3 linked regions of the Drosophila melanogaster genome follow. The protein of the gene in region 3 interacts with the protein of the main gene of each other region in a pairwise test. Each region holds a gene or a part of one and is shown on either strand. Other genes may lie near its edges.

The links. Proteins that work in one complex are often made in the same cells at the same time.
Region 1: the proteins of Cap-D2 (region 3) and CG13502 interact in a two-hybrid assay, tested with the Drosophila melanogaster proteins (one large-scale study listed by BioGRID).
Region 2: the proteins of Cap-D2 (region 3) and CG13131 interact in a two-hybrid assay, tested with the Drosophila melanogaster proteins (one large-scale study listed by BioGRID).

Annotation. Positions count from the first base shown.
Region 1 is NT_033778.4:22,085,252-22,089,403, forward strand, and holds CG13502 (uncharacterized protein), read right to left. Parts: upstream 2,171-4,152; 5' UTR 2,036-2,170; coding exon 1,478-2,035; intron 1,316-1,477; coding exon 641-1,315; 3' UTR 531-640; downstream 1-530.
Region 2 is NT_033779.5:10,012,697-10,019,114, reverse strand, and holds CG13131 (uncharacterized protein), read left to right. Parts: upstream 1-1,651; 5' UTR 1,652-1,783; coding exon 1,784-2,951; intron 2,952-3,005; coding exon 3,006-5,481; intron 5,482-5,534; coding exon 5,535-5,844; 3' UTR 5,845-5,888; downstream 5,889-6,418.
Region 3 is NT_033777.3:29,673,988-29,680,781, reverse strand, and holds Cap-D2 (CAP-D2 condensin subunit), read right to left. Parts: upstream 5,132-6,794; 5' UTR 5,053-5,131; coding exon 4,926-5,052; intron 4,849-4,925; coding exon 4,377-4,848; intron 4,317-4,376; coding exon 3,421-4,316; intron 3,361-3,420; coding exon 3,219-3,360; intron 3,164-3,218; coding exon 3,076-3,163; intron 3,022-3,075; coding exon 604-3,021; 3' UTR 525-603; downstream 1-524. Other genes in the region: CG7582 (uncharacterized protein), read left to right, coding at 1-291; Bub3, read left to right, coding at 5,474-5,665, 5,719-6,507; ppk19 (pickpocket 19), read right to left, coding at 6,559-6,794.

The DNA of each region.
Region 1 (4,152 bases), on a different chromosome or scaffold from region 3:
AGACGTACTCAACCCAATTGCACCGGATTTGCCGAGGGCGAAGAATGAATATAATGAAGTATATGGGCGACAAAGTATTACACTAATCTGCATAAATGTAATGTTTAAATAAATTATAGCCGTACTAGTCAAATTATGAAGTAAAGTTATAAAAACTGAAGAAGCAATAGAACTCTGTAAAAGATTCCGATTCGAGCGACACACCCAAACACATGTATCCATTGTTATTGAACAACTATTGAGATAAATTACATATTATTCCACATTGTTAAACTATCGTTGTATTCCGTCAATTTGAGGCTACATCCGGATTTCTGTTTCAGTTGACTACAAATATATATCAATGTAATTGAGAAATTCCAATTGCTCTGTTCAAAAGTTGAAGTTACGCCTAAGATTAACCAAGTAGCATACTACAAAATAAAAAAGTTGGACCGTCGTAGTCGCTGCTCCAAGTGAATATTCGCAAAATGCATTGGAAGTTAATAAAACTCAATACAAGAGTCAAGTAAAATTACCTGAGAGTTTTCGTAATTAATTGATTTATTTATTCAATACCAGCTTATCAAGCCAACTCAATTCAAACAGAAACTTAACACCGGGAGCTGAACAAGTCAGTAGTATTGGGCAGCTGGATGGACTAGAACCATTTGGGCAGAGCGTCATGGGGCAGGTTCTTATGGTTGGGCAGCGCCGTGCAGGGACGCTGTTGGCGCCAGAACTCCTGCCGTTTGTTGAGAAACTCCACCGCCTCGCGGGCGTACGCGGAGATGCTCTCCGTGTGTGTGTCCGCGCGGACCAAATCCGGATGGAGCAGCAACTTCTCCAAGTACTCCTTGTCCACGCACAGTTCGCCCAGCAGCTTGCGGGCGTTGCGTCGTTCCAGATCCGCTCGACTGGGTTTCTGCCGCGTCCTGGCACTGGTCCCCGTTGCTCCCGCTGCCTGGGATTTAGGTGTATCCTCGCCGGACTTCCGTGACTTTCCGCTCTTGGGAACAGATGCTGTTGGTCCTGGTGGACCCGGCTTGCTGCCGATGGTGTTCTCGATGGCCTCCTGCGTTTTCTGAACGCCCAGGCGAAACAAAGCCAGTTCCGGACGAGCCCTCAGACCGCGATGGAAGAACATCAGGCTCTGCTCGAACTGACCGAGGTAGTACAGCGACTCAGCCTTCTGGTAGATGGCCCGAATGTTGTTCTTGTCCTCTCCAAGAGCCGTCTCCGCATCCTGCAGTGCCTTGGAAGCCTCGCCCAGCAACAAGTAGCACTTGCTACGCGAAATCAAAGCATTGATGTCGGTGCTATTCAGCTCAAGAGCCTGAAATTTTAAGGTTTTGTTAGCTAGTTTTTAATATGTTATGGCAGATCTTAGAAAACTAAACGGGACTTAACAGCGGTATAGATTCTATTAAAAAGAGAAAACCTGCTTAACTAGATGACTCTGAAATCTGAACAGTTCCAATAATGAAACCAGGAGCACCTTGCAAAAAAAGTGTATGGCGTTCTCGGGATTGGCATTCTTGATCTCCTTGAGCCCCAGTGCGATCACCGAACTGATGTCCGCCTCGTCCGGGATGAGCAGTGCCTCGTTGCGGTCCTGCTTCTGCTTGATCTGGAGACTCTGCTTGATGTCAAATGCACCAGCGCTGACCGCTGCCGCCCGATCTTTGTCCGTGTAGAAGTCGACGAAGTTCTCCTTGGGCTTCTTCTTCTTGGCGATCTGCTCCTCGATCTTTTTGCGTGCCGCCCTAAGTTCGGCCTCAATGCGATTGCCCCGCTTGCCGCCCGCAGCGTCGCCTCCTGCTCCTCCCCCAGCTCCTCCGTCATCCCCCTGCTTTCCATCCCGTCCAGCACCGCGTCCGCCCCGATCAGTGGACTCGCGCCTCTCCCAGATGGGAGGCTTGTGGGAGCGACCCTTGGACCGCCGATTGGTCTCATCCTGTGACTCCTCCTCAGCCGCTGCTCCGGTGCGTATGAAGCTTTGCAGCAGTTCCTGCTCCTTGTCCACAGCAAGAATGGTGTTCAGCACGTTCGACATATCCTTATAATACCCTTGGCAATCGCTGGGAAGAATCTTCAACGTCCGACGATTGGAGTAATCCAAAAAACTCAACTTCTGACCAAATCACTAGCCAATTGATTGGCGCTATAATGGGTTGTTGCCAGGAAACTGGCGCCACCAAATGGGTTAGCAATCGATAACAAAACAACCACTCGTGCTGTGCCAGGTGCTACATATCAGGTGTCAGGCACCAGGTGTCGTGTCGTTTGGCGGTGTGAATGCCAAGAACAATGGCCTCCATGTGGGTCACGACCTTGGGGACGCCCTATTAGAAGGTGAGAATGCATATCCACTCCGATCTATCCTCTTTTCTCAGTGGTCCTCGAGATTATCATATTTTAAACTAATTTTTTGGTTAATGCTTAAGGAATCGAGTTGGGATTTTGTTAACCATGACTGGCTTACGGGGCGTATGAGTAACTTTCTTGATATGTTTTGAGGGGGACTTTAATTTCCTTAAAATTACGCATATTAAAGTAGCTCCTTTATAACACTAAAACTATCAACGGTATCTTTTCTCAATACGTTTTTTGTTTGCTAGCATAGAGGAATAAATTGGCATACGTGTCGTATGAGTAATATAAAAAAATGTAACAAAAAAACCTTAATGTAAACTAAAACTTATCATTAAACACTTGAACAATCTTGGCTATAAAAAAAGCCTTTCTATAGTGTTTCTATATGGTGTTACTCTACAGGTGCTTGTTCAACTACGTTAAGAATGTCAAACTGTGCTCCTTTGTTGTGAACTAAAACCTGTGCGAAGCTTTCAGGAGCTTTTAGCGGATGTCCTTTCCCGCTAAGTGATTATCCTTCTTCACGAACAAAGCATTAAATGCTTAAAAGTGAAAATGAAACACATAAAATATCACCGCCTTCGTTTTTATGTACTTTTCGAAAATTATGAAATTAAATAAAAGTACATAGATTACTTTTATCTTAATTACATATTTTTTAAATGCGATAAAACCCGTTTCAAATATCCTCAACTGTGTCTAATTTAAATGATTCACTTTGTGTAAAGTTTATCAAACATTATTTATAGTGCAATTCGGAGATGGTATTCCCAATTGCACTTTATTATTTGATGGAAATAATTCTGCCTAGTCTTAACTGTGGCTAGTAAGTTTCCCAACACACCTGGTTGTATCCAAACAAAGCCTTCTCGTAGGCCCGAACCTTCATGTGGTTATTGGATTGATCGCATAGCAGTTTAATATTGGTCTCGATCTCCTCGAGAGTATCGACCTTCGGTTTCTTGCGCGGCATTTTAAATTCGGTATTGTTAAGTAGTTATAGTGGCTTATTGAGATGGTGTATCGTAGTAGTTTCACATTTTTCACCCTTCAAGCCTGTGACTTCTTCACTCCGTAGTCTAAAATTGACGTCTGAACGCGACGGTTGTCGTTGAGCAACTGAATTATGTGCCTTCACTTTGCATTTGACCCAACTTGGCTCGCTTCTAGACCCCCAATCCATGGAAAAGGCACCCCATCACAAGCTGCAACTCAGGGGTTCCGGCTTTTCTTTACTTTGTATACCAGTTTACATGCGCTGACAAGCAGCAATAAACTTCAATAAAGTTTCATTAATATCTCAACAAACCCTTCTGAGCATTCTGAAAAGCCACAATATCCTTTGGATACCACAAAATATTAGTTTTTGTTATGAAACATCTACTAGCTGATTCATTTTGTCATCAGCTGTGACTTTAATAACAGAAAATTATTTGTTTATGGTGATTAGATCACATAATGTGCAGTGTCAATTATACATGTTACATGAACTCTATTTCACTTTAACAATAATAAAACTCGAAAAAAATATAAAACAAACAATTGTTTTTTACATAATCCCTTCTTTCTGTGTAGACTTTGGATCGCTGAAAAGGCGGATTCACCGCATTTACACGCAGTTAATTGAAGTCATCAAAATTAAAACCCAACTCCGGACGGGGAGTCACGCACCCGAGCCCGGCTGATAAGAGAAGGCCAACGGAGAAGGAGTCAGACAATCGATTTGCAGCAGGTGAAACCCATTTGGCAGCACCACCACCGAAAGAACCCCTCTTCCACCCATTTGGGTTGGTGCGG
Region 2 (6,418 bases), on a different chromosome or scaffold from region 3:
TGGCCAAAGAAAAATGCCGAAAATGAAATGACGCTAAAAGTATCGCAATAAAAACGCATTAAAATGCCTCACCAGGGAGTAAATAATTTCTGTTGCTCCAATCGCAGACATCGATTTGACTTTGTCGTCATGTACAGGGTAAGAAACGCTTTCCAAGATCAAGGACGAAATGTGATTATAAACCCAGAGGTATAATTAAAAAGTTTTTTATCTCAGAAATGTCAAAAAATTGTATATGCGAGGTTAAAGGTATCTTAAAATATGCTACGAGTATAGCACTATTTGAAACATCTTTTCAAGTGCTTTCAACATAAAGATGCAATAGTTTTGCAATGCATCAGTTATTGAAATGCAATAAGTTCGTATTTTTTTTTAAGTGTCCCTCGTAGTCGAATGTATTGAAATACAATCGATGCTGAACAATTAGGCGCCGATTCGGAGGGACTATAGTCTGTAGTCTGGGAATAATATTTTTATGGCCAGTGGCGCGCATAAATCCCGTCCAGCCGGCGTGTAATTCAAAATGGACAGAGGAACGTGCGACGGGAACTTGGTAATTCCCGGCAGGATATCGACTGGTTGCATAATTTATCGTCCTGCTTGATTTGAGTGCATAAAGTCGCTGCCCAACGCCTTGGCCTCAAACTCTCAAGTTTGCTCCTCAAAATCTGCTCAATGAGCCGAAGATGCAGAGCATTTTGTAAGGCGATGCGCTTTTAATGTGTTTATTGACTTGGCTTGGCCAACGGGTTGGCTCGATGATGGGCGGGAGATTAGGCCAATCCATCAAATGCTATAAAGTTAATTAAACAAGATGCTGCCGAAGGAGTCGAGAAATTGGGTCAAGCTGCATGCACCTTGCGCTTGCTAAATGCATTTTGCATATTTATTGCAGTAAAAATTGAAATAAATTCCAACTACGATTGAATGGCATAGTGAAGTGTGCTTGTCAATTATAAGTGTTAATACATATATTTGTAGATATGTTTGTGTGTGTGTGCTGTAATCCTTTTCCCCGAGCAGTAATTGCATATGAAACATGCATTTTCACTTAAAATGGCATGAAACTAATCTCCTTTTGCAGGAAGTGGGCGGGTATGCATACTATATTAAATAGTATTTTGCGAACTGTTGTTCTCGAAGGACGCTGTCTGGCTTTCAGCAAAATCTACTTTATTCGAACAACAGTGCAAAAAACTCAATAATACTCCATTGAATGCGTATATTAAAAATGCAGCAGAAACTTAATTAAATTTCCCAACTGAGTGAGTGGCTAGAAACACGTACAATCAGAGCCATTCGGCCACACAAACTTCAATTGCAAATTACAGAAGCCGCAAACAAAGACAATAGAAATTTTAATAATTCCAGAACATACAGCTTGAATGAAATTAATTAAGAATATAGTCGATTGTGAGTTCTGAAAGAATCAATCGGATTTAATGATTTAATAACAAGTTACTTTAAAGGCCGAAAAACTGCTGGTGCAAATGTATCAATTTTTTTAGCCTTTTAGCAGTTTTTTCGTCATTTTACCATCAATACTCACATAAAAAACCTAATTTTCGAAACATAAGCTCGAAATAGAGTTGACAAATATGTCTAAATATTTTAAGTACCCGTTAACAACGAACATATAGACTATATATTTAGGAATGTGTGATAAAACTAAAAGTTAAGAAAACATATTTGACGAAAATTGCCGGAATCTATGTGCCATTTCGTTGCTTGTTAAGTAAGTCGACCTGATTGGCCGTCTAAAAATCAAAATAGCTGGCTTTTGATGTTTCGCTTCTACAAGTTGTACTCGTTGTACATGAACAACATGACCAGTAGTGGAGTTGCATGGCCGCGGGAGTGGTGCCTGTGCGGAAAACTGCCGCGGGCGGTGCTCCACATCCCGGTGAACCATCGTCTGATCTGCCAGGTGTGCGGATTGGCCAGGCGCCCCCAGGCTGGACTCGATTCCTCCAGCGATAAGGATGCAGATCAGAGCACCGAGGAGCAGAAGACGATTATACCAGAGCCCAGCCACGTGGAGGAGCCCAAAAAAAGCCAAAAGACTCGGGTAAAGGTAACCATTAGGGGCAAGAAGCCGAAAGCCAAGAATTGTTGCCGGACAAATTGCCACAAGTGTGGTGGCTTGGCCAAAGCTGAAGTTGGCCAGGAAAGTACTGAAGCACCCAAAGAGATGAAGTGCAAACGGTACCCGGGGCGTCATGGCTTGCACTCGAAACCGAAGGGAATGATGAGTCGTCGACAGCTGGCGCCCAAAGCACCGCCACCTTCGACGCCGTCGTCATCTCCAACGCTATCGCCATTGCCTTCATCACCGCCATCGCCCACAGCACCACCACCACCACCACCACCTCCGCGTCAAGAATTGGAATCACCACGTTCGGAGATGCCAAGCCTGGTGGCCATGGCCCATAACGTTTTTAATCCAAAAAACAGCCCGCTACAGAACTACAACAATCTATTTGTCAGTAACTTTATACCCTTACAAAGTCCCATTACGGATACCTTCGGGGGAGCTATATCCAAGAGGAGCAGGAACAGCATTCGTCCACCACGCAGCCACAGGAGTCGCCCGCTGCCACCACTTTCCAAAGTCTTAACCAACATCTTGAGCAGCCAGAACTCGACGGATGACAGAGAGATGGGTGGTGGATTGAGTAGCTCCAATTGTAAGGACTCGCAATCGACCGATTCCGAGCTGGCTAGCCAGTTTTGTCCATTTGATCACTATGAAGGTCCATCCGAAGATGCTCTTGTCGTGAATAACGCTCGTTATATGCTTCATCGACCGAAATCACTGCACATCGAACCACGACAGGATTTGCGCAACAATCGCATTGAATCGTTGAACTTTCAGTTGAGCTCTACTAAGGACACAAAGAGTCCAATCGCTGACAATCTATCAGGCATCCTATTCATGGCGGATTCAGTTCGTAAAAATCTTAAGAAAACCATTGATAACATTGGAAACGAATGCCATATTTCAGGTAAAACCAGCCCAGCCAAGAACTTGGCCTCCAAACCGGCAGTTACTCAGCAGAACAATCGGGAAAATAAACCGGAAGCGTTGGAAGACTTCGAAAGATCTTCCATTTTAACCTCAATCATGGACAAAGTTTTCAGCTCACAGGAATCGAAAAGCTCAAATGGAAACTGCGATGATGACAAGATACCAGAATTGGAGGATATTAATAAGCCGATCAACGACATGTTCGTCGAGGACCCTGAATCGGTTTCTTTGAAAAGTAATGTATCAAATGAGCACAGTGTATTTTCTTCAAATAAAACAAACAACTATAATGATTATTCCAAGCCCGTTTCAAAAACACTAAGCATAAGCAATTCCATTTGGGAACGATTTTGTGATAACAAACCCAAATCGACATTATATAAGTGTGCTCGCTGCGGACAACAAAAGCATCGTGAAGATATAGTTGCTAAAATTAAAATAAAAGATAGTAGAATTCCAAAAAAATCCGATGCGAATCAAATATGGCTAAATAAAAAAATAGGATGCGCCATAAAGCAAAAGCTCAATAGCTTAAGATCCTTTTCTGGAGCACAGGAATGTAAAAAACACGAACACGAAGGGCAGAAATCCCTAAAACTAGCAGATCAAGGAGTAATTCCCGAGATTTTTAGAGAAACCCTACGTATGCAAAAACAAAAAGCTACGAATGACAAACCAAAAGAGGAAAATTTAAGACTGCAATCCATAAATACAAACATTCAAAGGAAAGCACAACGAATTTATCAGGATGATTCTTCGGAATCACAGACTCCAATAAAAGATCATAGCACTTCAAAATGTTTAAATCTACAAGAAAAAATAGATCATATCCCACCGAGGGATAACAATCCAGCCAAAGTAAATGATCAATCAAAGATCACTCCTTCCAAGATACACCACGAATGTCTTCAAAAACGACCCAGAATCGCACTTAAAGTTGTGAATTTAAACCAATCTCAAATATCGGATAATAACTTTCAATTACGTAGACATAAGGAGCCATCGTTCAACTGGGGAGTGATACAATTCTGCGAGACTGTATCTCATAGGAGTCTAGTTATCCCCAAAATACTGGTTCCTACTTATGTTGGTGAGTTGGTGAATATCGGTCAAGCCACGAAATGCTATATCAAGGAGAATATTCTTCCGGATGATCCGCCTTCGTCTCTCTTTGAGTTTCGCATCCCTGACATTAGTCCCAACGAGCTGCTATCCTATCGAAGTTCGGATAACATTAGCGGAAGCTGTACTCCAATACCTCATATAGCGAGTCCAAAGGAGCAACCTATAAACCACAAAGACCCGTGTCATTCTGTTGATCCATCTCCGCCAGAAAAATTCGAAAGTCGTAGCACTCTATACGAAAATCTTGAATTGTCGTTCACCACACGAAAAGCAGATAGTTTTAACCATCCCAATGACAAATTACCTGATTATGAAAATCAAAAGAGTAACAAATGCATGAAGGCAAACGAGAACAGAAAGTCCAAGTCCACAGAATTAACAGATGCTAATTTTAGCTCCTTAAGTGACAACAATATGAGCTATAAGATAGAATTAGATGGTTTAAGAAAAGAAGAGAACCCAATAAAAGAATTCAGTTTAAAGACTGACATTACGGCAGTTAGTAATACATTTACGAGATCTAAAGAAAATACAGAAAATTCAAATGATACATTTTTCCAGGAGAGCCGCATTACGTTACAAAAGTACAATCACTCAAAATTGAGCAATGCGATTAAAAAACAAATAGACAAATCCTTGCAACAGAAGATTAAAAAAATTATGACTAAACCGATAAAGTTGCTAAAATCGACTGATTCAGATTCAGTTGAAAAATTTGTGGAGCCATTTACAAACAAATTGAGCGCCTTCGATGAATATAATGCAAACTCTACACAAGAAAACTTAGAACTTGAACCAAATGTCATTTTGAATGAAGAAGAGGATATATCTCTTTCAAATTCCTTCACGGAATTAAGTTCAAGTCAAAAGCCATTACGTCTTATAGCCAACCTGCACTCCTCAAGTGACTCCGAACCAAAGTGTCTAATTGAAGAATCTAAGGTAGAAACTGATTCTGATGGAGCATCGGAACCGATGCTGACCTGTCGAACCACCGAGTATGCAGGATTGCCTCCTCTGAACTGGCAAGTAATCACAATGGGCTCAGCTCATCCAAAAAATATTATGCAGGATGATTTGGAGTCATCTCTGGTAGAAGAGTATTACTGTCCCATTCACATGTGCGGAAGCCTTATAAAGTCGAACACATTTTCTTCGCATATCCTGCAAGATCATCGAGTTTGGAAAACCAAAGATGCTCCACCGCAGGAAGATTACCATCAAGTAGTGGAAGGTTTACCAAAGCAGTTCTGCTTCGATGGCGATCTCCTCACGAAAGGAAACACTTTTGTGGCCCTTCTCTTGTACACCAGCTTAGCGAAGGAAAGGTTAGCTACTGAAAACAAAAATGATATATCTATTTACTAATTCTAACCCTTAGATCACATCCAATGCGGAATCATCCGCTGACCTTGCTAGCTGCTCCAAAAATGGCAAAGGATGATGCATTAGCCGGTGTTTTCTTCTGGCTGGTCGGTTGTCCATCGCGTGCCAAACTTCTTGCCAAGCTCACAGTCTACGATCCATTCGATCAAATTGGACGGAGTATGATCATAAGACCACGTGATTTATCTGAGAACCAAGATCCTCAAGAATTTGTAGTCAATTCGAAAGATCATTTGCTTATCAGCGTTCCACATAAGCAAAGGACTTTTCAAATAACTGTGGTCATAGATGAACCGCAAACTTAGTTATAAAGGATATCTATTTACTTAAAACTAAAATCTATAGACGTAAATTTTCATTTTTAATCCCTTTGATACCACGAGTTTAATTTTAAAGACAAATTGTATGTTGTATATTTTTTAATAAAACGTTCGAGCAAGAACTAAAAAACGCTCAAATATCTCTCACATCAGATCAGAATTGCCTAGCTTTATTTATATAATAGTTAATTGCGTGTTACACTACTAATTTCATTAAGTTGTTAGTTTGCTTTAATTACATGTAGAGTAAATATTCATGCACATAGAAACGTATGCGCTCACATCTACGTACGTACTCGCTATGATTATTATCAATTGCAATCGTTTCTTGCACCTGCCTAGTGCGTTCCACTGTATACATTTACAAACATAGGAATACAAATAGGTAAAATATAGGTAGTTTGTTTAACGGCTTAAGAACTTTTGCGAAAAAAAGATGTCCAACTGCATGGTGCATAACCAAATGTCTTTGTCTCACATAATATTCCGTTTAAAAATATTGTGTTTCATATGCAAGCCTACATCCAACAATAAAAAATATTGCAAAACCTCAAACCTA
Region 3 (6,794 bases):
CTCATCATCGGAGTGCCCATCTACTGTTTCCTGATCACCACAATGCTGTGGAGATCGCTGGCCCGCGCCGTGGACTCCAGGAACTTCCTCGCCGTGTTCTGTGCCATCGGAGCCATTCTGTTTGTGATCTCCGACGCCCTGATCGCGGTCACCATGTTCGTGGGCGTGCCCCTGCCCTGCGCCCGCCTCCAGATCATGATCACCTACTACGCCGCCCAGTTTGCCATTGCGCTGAGCACCGCGGACGACGGTCCTGCCCTCCAGCGCTCCCTTCGCAAGAAAATTAAGTGAAGCCAGTGCCCAGTGCTCATCTGTCGGAGGCCCAGAGACAACATGAACGCAACCACCAAACTTAGTACTTCCAAAGCGTCTAGAGTATTGCCATTTACGTGTGTTGGTTTCCCCATCCCAGTAGCTTAGTGCAACCAAATATTTGTTCCCTTTCTGATGGATGTGGAAACGGATCTTAGTAGTTTACTAGATGTTTGTTGACTTCAAAGTAATAAATATATCAATAATAGGTTCTATTAACTATTTTATTAAAAACCATCTTTGTACATCATTAAAAACCCGCTCAGATCGTAACTTAAGATGGAGCACGAACTAGTCGCTGCTGCTGGAACTGAAGCTCTCTTCTGAGGTGGAATCCCGGCGAGCACGTCTTCCGCGTCCTCGCACAGTATTGTTCCTGTTGGCCGCCGGCTTGCGACCACCCTTCTTTGTCCTTGGCGCCGCTCTGGTTCTGTTGCCCTGACCTTCTGGAGTGCTTTCTTGATCACCCTGGGCAGCGGTATCCGGGTTGACTTGCAGGCACTCGTTCAGTCGGTTCTCGAACTCGGTGACTACAGCTTTGAGCTCCGGCTTGGCCAACTTGTTGGTGTTGCTAATGATGAGCTTGAAGGACTGATAAACCTCGTCCACCTGGACCTTGTCCCTGTAGTGCTGCATATTGTCCATTAGCTTCTTCACAGCTCGCTCGTTGTAGGTGAGCAGGCCGAGGCAGTAGGCGATGTCGCGCCATTGACGCTCCACCCGCGTTACCGGGAAGCGCAGACACAGCTTCTCCACTAGCGTCTCAATCTGGCGATCCTTCTGGATGAGACCCAGGATATAGGACATGATAATGCGGTACTTGTCCTCATCCAGGTTGAGGTTTATGTCCCCCAAACGGGAGATGATATCTGGCAGGACGTTGTACAGAATGTTCGACTTGTTGGCTATCTCCTTGAAGAACTGCTTGGTGATATTGCGAATCTCCTCGTTGCCGTCCACAATGCAAAGTGCCATGTCGGCGATTTGACCCTTGACGCGTATCATCTCGTTGAGGATCAGATGAGATAGCATTTTGACGGCAGTTAGCCTTAACTCGGTGTTCGATTCGTGCAGCTGAGCGTAGAAGTGCCCCGTCCACGGCTCGATGATGTTTGGGAAACGGAAAGTGAGATCCGACAGCCCCACCACCGTGTTGCACTTGATTCGAATGTTCTTCGTTAGGTTGAGGATGTTCATCAAAAAGCTCATGTTGGACTCGCAGAAACGGGAGGAGACGGTCATGAGCCGGGCCAGAGCCAAAGTAGCGGCCTGTTGCAACGTGGGATCACCAAACTCACCTGGACGCTTGCAAATCTCTATGATAAATGGCGCCAGCTTGGAGAGCAGAGCATCCGGGTTGTAAAGCAGCATGTCCTCGCAGATGCCGTGGATTTCCTCGGCGATGTTGTCCTCTGCAGTCGCTCCCACCAGATCGTCGTCTGGCTCCTGCTGTGGTTCCGCTGCCACTCCGGACAGCCTCTTGCGCACCTCCATCGCTGACATATTAAGCGTAAGTCTGGCCGCATTATGTGAACTTCCCGCCTGCTGATTGCGGTTTTTACGCTCTTCAAGAGCCGTCAGCTCGTCGCGATACTTCATGTTATTATAGATATCCATGTCGAGAAAGATCATCTCCTTGATGGTCATGTAGCCGATGCAAAAGATTAAGCGGGAGACGAGATACACGGGAATCAAGGTGCCTTGCATCTGCGATTGGCTATCAGCTTGAGTCTGAGTGGGAGTAAGGGTCTGCGAATGCGGAATCTCCAAGGGCTGCGAGTCCGGAACAGTTTCCGTATCCGCTTTGTCTGGAGAGGGAACTATTGCAGCCGCTTCCTTGACCAGCCAGCTCTCATTGAATTGCTTGAGTAAAGCCGTCACCAGTTGCTGCGCAATCACATCCGGCGCCTGGCACATCCTATAGAAGTATTCAAAAACACTCATGGCCAGTGCGTCGAAGTCGTATAGACTTCTGTGGAAAAAGAAGTCGAGGAAGAGCCGCGTGATCTTTCCCACGAATTCTGCATCGCTGTTCTGACGCTTATAATACTTGGCAGTGTTGTTTGCATCGATTGAGTTGACCAGCAGCTGCAGACAGGAGGTAAATATCCGTGGATCCCGACGCACCCGCTCTCCGACGGCGATATCCTCGATGATGGCAGTGTTGGCCGAAACAATACTAGACTTCGATTGCGAGGCCATTATCAGGAGCTGGAGCGACAGGCGAGATTCGTTGGATGTAGTGCCCTCCAGTTTTAGCGTGAAGCGCTCAAAGAGCACCTGGATGACAGCAGCATCGATGTCGCCACCCAACACCCACTCGGTCATCAGCGACTCCAAGGCCGTGTAGTGACCATACTCGATTTCCGAAAGAAACTTCGACAGGTTCTGCACCACCTTAATGGCATGAGCGCGACCCGTTTGGTCCGTGGAGAACAGAACGCGCTTGTAGGCATCCGACACTGCATCTCGTTTCTCCTTGTCCGAAGACCAGACCAGTTGCAGCATTCTCTGCATTCCCGACTCCGTGCCGTGAATTCCGAACATGTACCCGGTGGTGAACAAGTCCACCGCCTCAAAAACATCCGTGTTTGTCTTGGACATGAGCATCTCGTGCAGTTTGGGGAAGGCTGAAGTCATCAAGACGGCAAAGTCAATGCTGTCTTTTAGGAACTGCACCGTTTTGATTTGCTGCAGCATTTCCTCGCTCTAAATTAAAAGATTTGGTTAGAAGGGAATATAACTTTCTAAGATTAAACATACGCTCTGTTTAAATCCAGCAGCCAGCAGGTGATATGTCTTTAGCAAGGCCAGCACATACACGCAATGCTCCTCGTGCTTCAGTAAGGAACTGGAAAGTAAATATATTTATGGTAAAACAAAACCATCTTTGATTAGCAACATACCTCATATTCTGATTTCCCGCCAAAAAGTCTACCTTTCGCACTAGAACAATAACATCCTTGTAGTTCTTTTCGCGCATCAGCGGAATGATCCGCTCCATCAAGGTCTCGTCGCTCTCCTCCTTGTCGAACTGCATATCGGGAACTGTAATATAACAATAAACTTTAATATATACGTCGAACTAGCGGAACTGCATGAACTCACACTCCGTAAGGTTCTCCTCTATGAAAGGCAGCAGTTCGGGCGCCAAGCTGCTAAACTCGTCGTTGAGCTTCTCCTCCTGCTTGCGCTCTTCCTCGAGTACCTCATTAAGTTTCTCCATTGCCTGCACCTCGTGTTCATGCTTGGCACGGAGTTCATCTATGGAAAGCTTACTGCTGTATGGATTGCTTTCCAGGGCGGATTTGATCAGATGCATGGCGGCACGCCGCACCAGCGAGCTCTTGTCTTCCAACCTTCCGATGGCTTCCTCCAGCACTCTGGTCAGGAAGTTAAGCGGAATGGCGTGCTGGGTTTTCAGGTGATGCCAGATACTGAGCACCTTGGAGCGCACGTGTGCAGAAATGTCTAGGATGTGGGCCATTAGGTGCTCGAGGAACTCATTGCGTACTTCCTTCAGTTCTTCGCTAAGATCCTCCGAGGTCAGTTCGCTAACCACGGTGTCGCCGATGATCTGGAGCACACAATTTCGCAGCGTGTGAGACTGACAATCTAGTAAATCTTCCGCCAGCTTTTCCAGGTGCGGTACGATCAGCGAAGGTGCTATGTTCGAGAACTCGGCCAGGAAATTGGAGAAGTGTTTGGACACCGAAGAGTCAGAACTGTCCATCCTTAGAGCATCCACAATGCTCTTGATTAGAATGGAGAAGACCGAAGAAATTCCGTACTCCTCGTGCAGAAGCAAAATTCCAGCTGCTACTGAATGGGCTGCATGCTCGGTACCGCGTAGGATCTGCAGAATGCGCACCGGGAAGGTCATGGCCTGGTTAAAGCGCTTGATCGATGTGCCCAAGATCTGGAAGATCGTGTCGAATACGTGTTTGTTGTCCATGCGAAGCGGCAAAAGTTCGATTGTTCGATAGCAGGGGTCGCAGAGCAAACTGGGGAAGATGGATACATTGCAGATCGAAGAAATAGGATGCTAAATGCTTTGCTCTTACTTTATAAAGTCCTCCTCGGCTACGGGCGGACTCCAGAGCTTCTCCAGCGGGCACTGCAGCACGTTGAAGAGCTGCACCAAGAACTTGCCGCGCTTAACCTCCCAGTTGGGAAACTGCTCCAATCCCTCCGATGGCTTGGCACGCTTCTTCTGAACATTGAGCTGCTGATCCCGCATGGCCTGCTGGACACTGTTGTTGATCTTCTTGACGGTGCTCACCTGGAGGAACAGCGTCATTTTGGTCAGGTTGAGGTAACTATTGCGCTGCTGGTTAGACATGGGCTCACTGGCCGTCAGCAGGGGCTGCAAGTCTTGGAACAGTTTCTCCACGGTCAGGTAGAGCAGGTCAAAGGACCTCATTAGATTCTGTGCAGAGGCGCCATCTGAACCGCGGGCCTCGATGATCGAGTAATACAAGTCGAAGTGCTCGAATATATAAAAAGGATCGCCCAAGTGCACTTTGCGCTTGCATTCTGGGAAGGAAACATGAAGATTGCGCGTCCGAAAACTGTACTCAATTTAAAAACCAACCGCGAAAACGGAAACTTACCTTGTAGTTTCGCGGGAATCTCCTGGGCGCCAAAAATCTCCTTCACGTAATACTGATCTCCGCTGGAGTTGATCAGATCAGATGCATTCAGGGGAAGGACGAACTGGAAGTCGTGCGATTCCTCCATGGCGGTTATTACTCCTATTTACCGCGAAATAATAATTGTATCTTCTGAATTGAGTGGCGTCGCTTATAGAGATGGGCAGATTCGCCGCCAAATCGATCGCTTGATATCGGTTATCGGTTACTGCTGACTGCAAGCTTACAATGCTCATAATGAGAGGGTGTATTTATCAGATAGATACTTACCACAAAAACTAAATTTATATTGGTTTAACAGGGGTTTGTAAAATTTTTTACATTATTAAAAGTGTACCTGTTTAGGGAGTCCCCTTGATGCAAATATGCAATGTATCGATAGTGATATCGAAATACTCGCATCTCTTCTCCAGACGCCGTGCAAATTCGGAGTTTGATTTGTTTTAAGCAGTTTCTGTTTGAATTTATTGTTTTATTATCCACAAGTTGCTAGCAGAAAACTTGACAAAATGCGTCCCCCAGAGTTCAAGCTTAACAATCCGCCGGAGGACCTGATCTCCGCTGTGAAATTCGGCCCCAAATCGAATCAATACATGGCGGCGTCTTCTTGGGACGGAACACTTAGATTCTATGATGTGCCGGCAAACCAGCTGCGTCAGAAATTCGTGCAGGATGCCCCTCTTCTCGACTGTGCCTTCATGGTGAGACTCCTTCGTACACATTAACAATCCCCTATTCAACCAACGATCCGCAGGACATAGTGCACGTGGTCAGTGGCTCCCTGGACAACCAGCTGCGTCTCTTTGATGTCAACACCCAGGCGGAAAGCATAATTGGTGCCCACGAGGAGCCCATCAGATGCGTGGAGCACGCCGAGTATGTCAATGGCATCCTCACGGGTAGCTGGGACAATACCGTGAAGCTGTGGGACATGCGGGAGAAGCGCTGCGTTGGAACCTTCGAACAGAACAACGGAAAGGTGTACTCCATGTCCGTGATCGACGAAAAGATCGTGGTGGCCACCTCCGACCGCAAGGTGCTCATCTGGGACCTTCGCAAGATGGACAGCTACATCATGAAGCGGGAGTCCTCGCTCAAGTACCAGACCCGCTGCATTCGTCTATTCCCCAACAAAGAAGGCTACGTGATGTCCTCCATCGAGGGACGGGTGGCAGTGGAGTACCTGGATCACGATCCTGAGGTGCAGCGCCGCAAGTTCGCTTTCAAGTGCCACCGGAATAGGGAGCAGAATATCGAACAGATCTACCCCGTTAATGCCTTGAGTTTCCACAATGTCTATCAGACGTTCGCCACTGGCGGATCCGATGGCATTGTGAACATTTGGGATGGCTTCAACAAGAAGCGCCTTTGTCAGTTCCACGAATACGATACCTCCATATCCACGCTCAACTTCAGCTCCGATGGCAGCGCCCTGGCCATCGGCTGCTCCTACTTGGACCAACTGCCAGAGACGCCGGCTACAGTGCCACATCCGGCTATCTATATACGCTATCCCACGGACCAGGAAACTAAACAGAAATAATGTTATATATACTTGTTTACGGCAAAGTTTTACATCATTTTTTAAAGTAAGCTACTTAGTATACTCTTTCAATTTTATGCGCGCATCTCTGATGAAACCCCACATCAGTTTTCCCAGCACAAATAAAAGCTCTATAAAACTCATGACGGAGGCCCCTATATACAGACTTATGATCCCGCCAAAGTTGGCCAGTAAATCTATATTGGTGTACTTGAGTTTCGTAATGATTTTGGTCATGACACGTTGGCCATAATAAACCTGGGCTTTTATCAATTGATCTGTCGAGT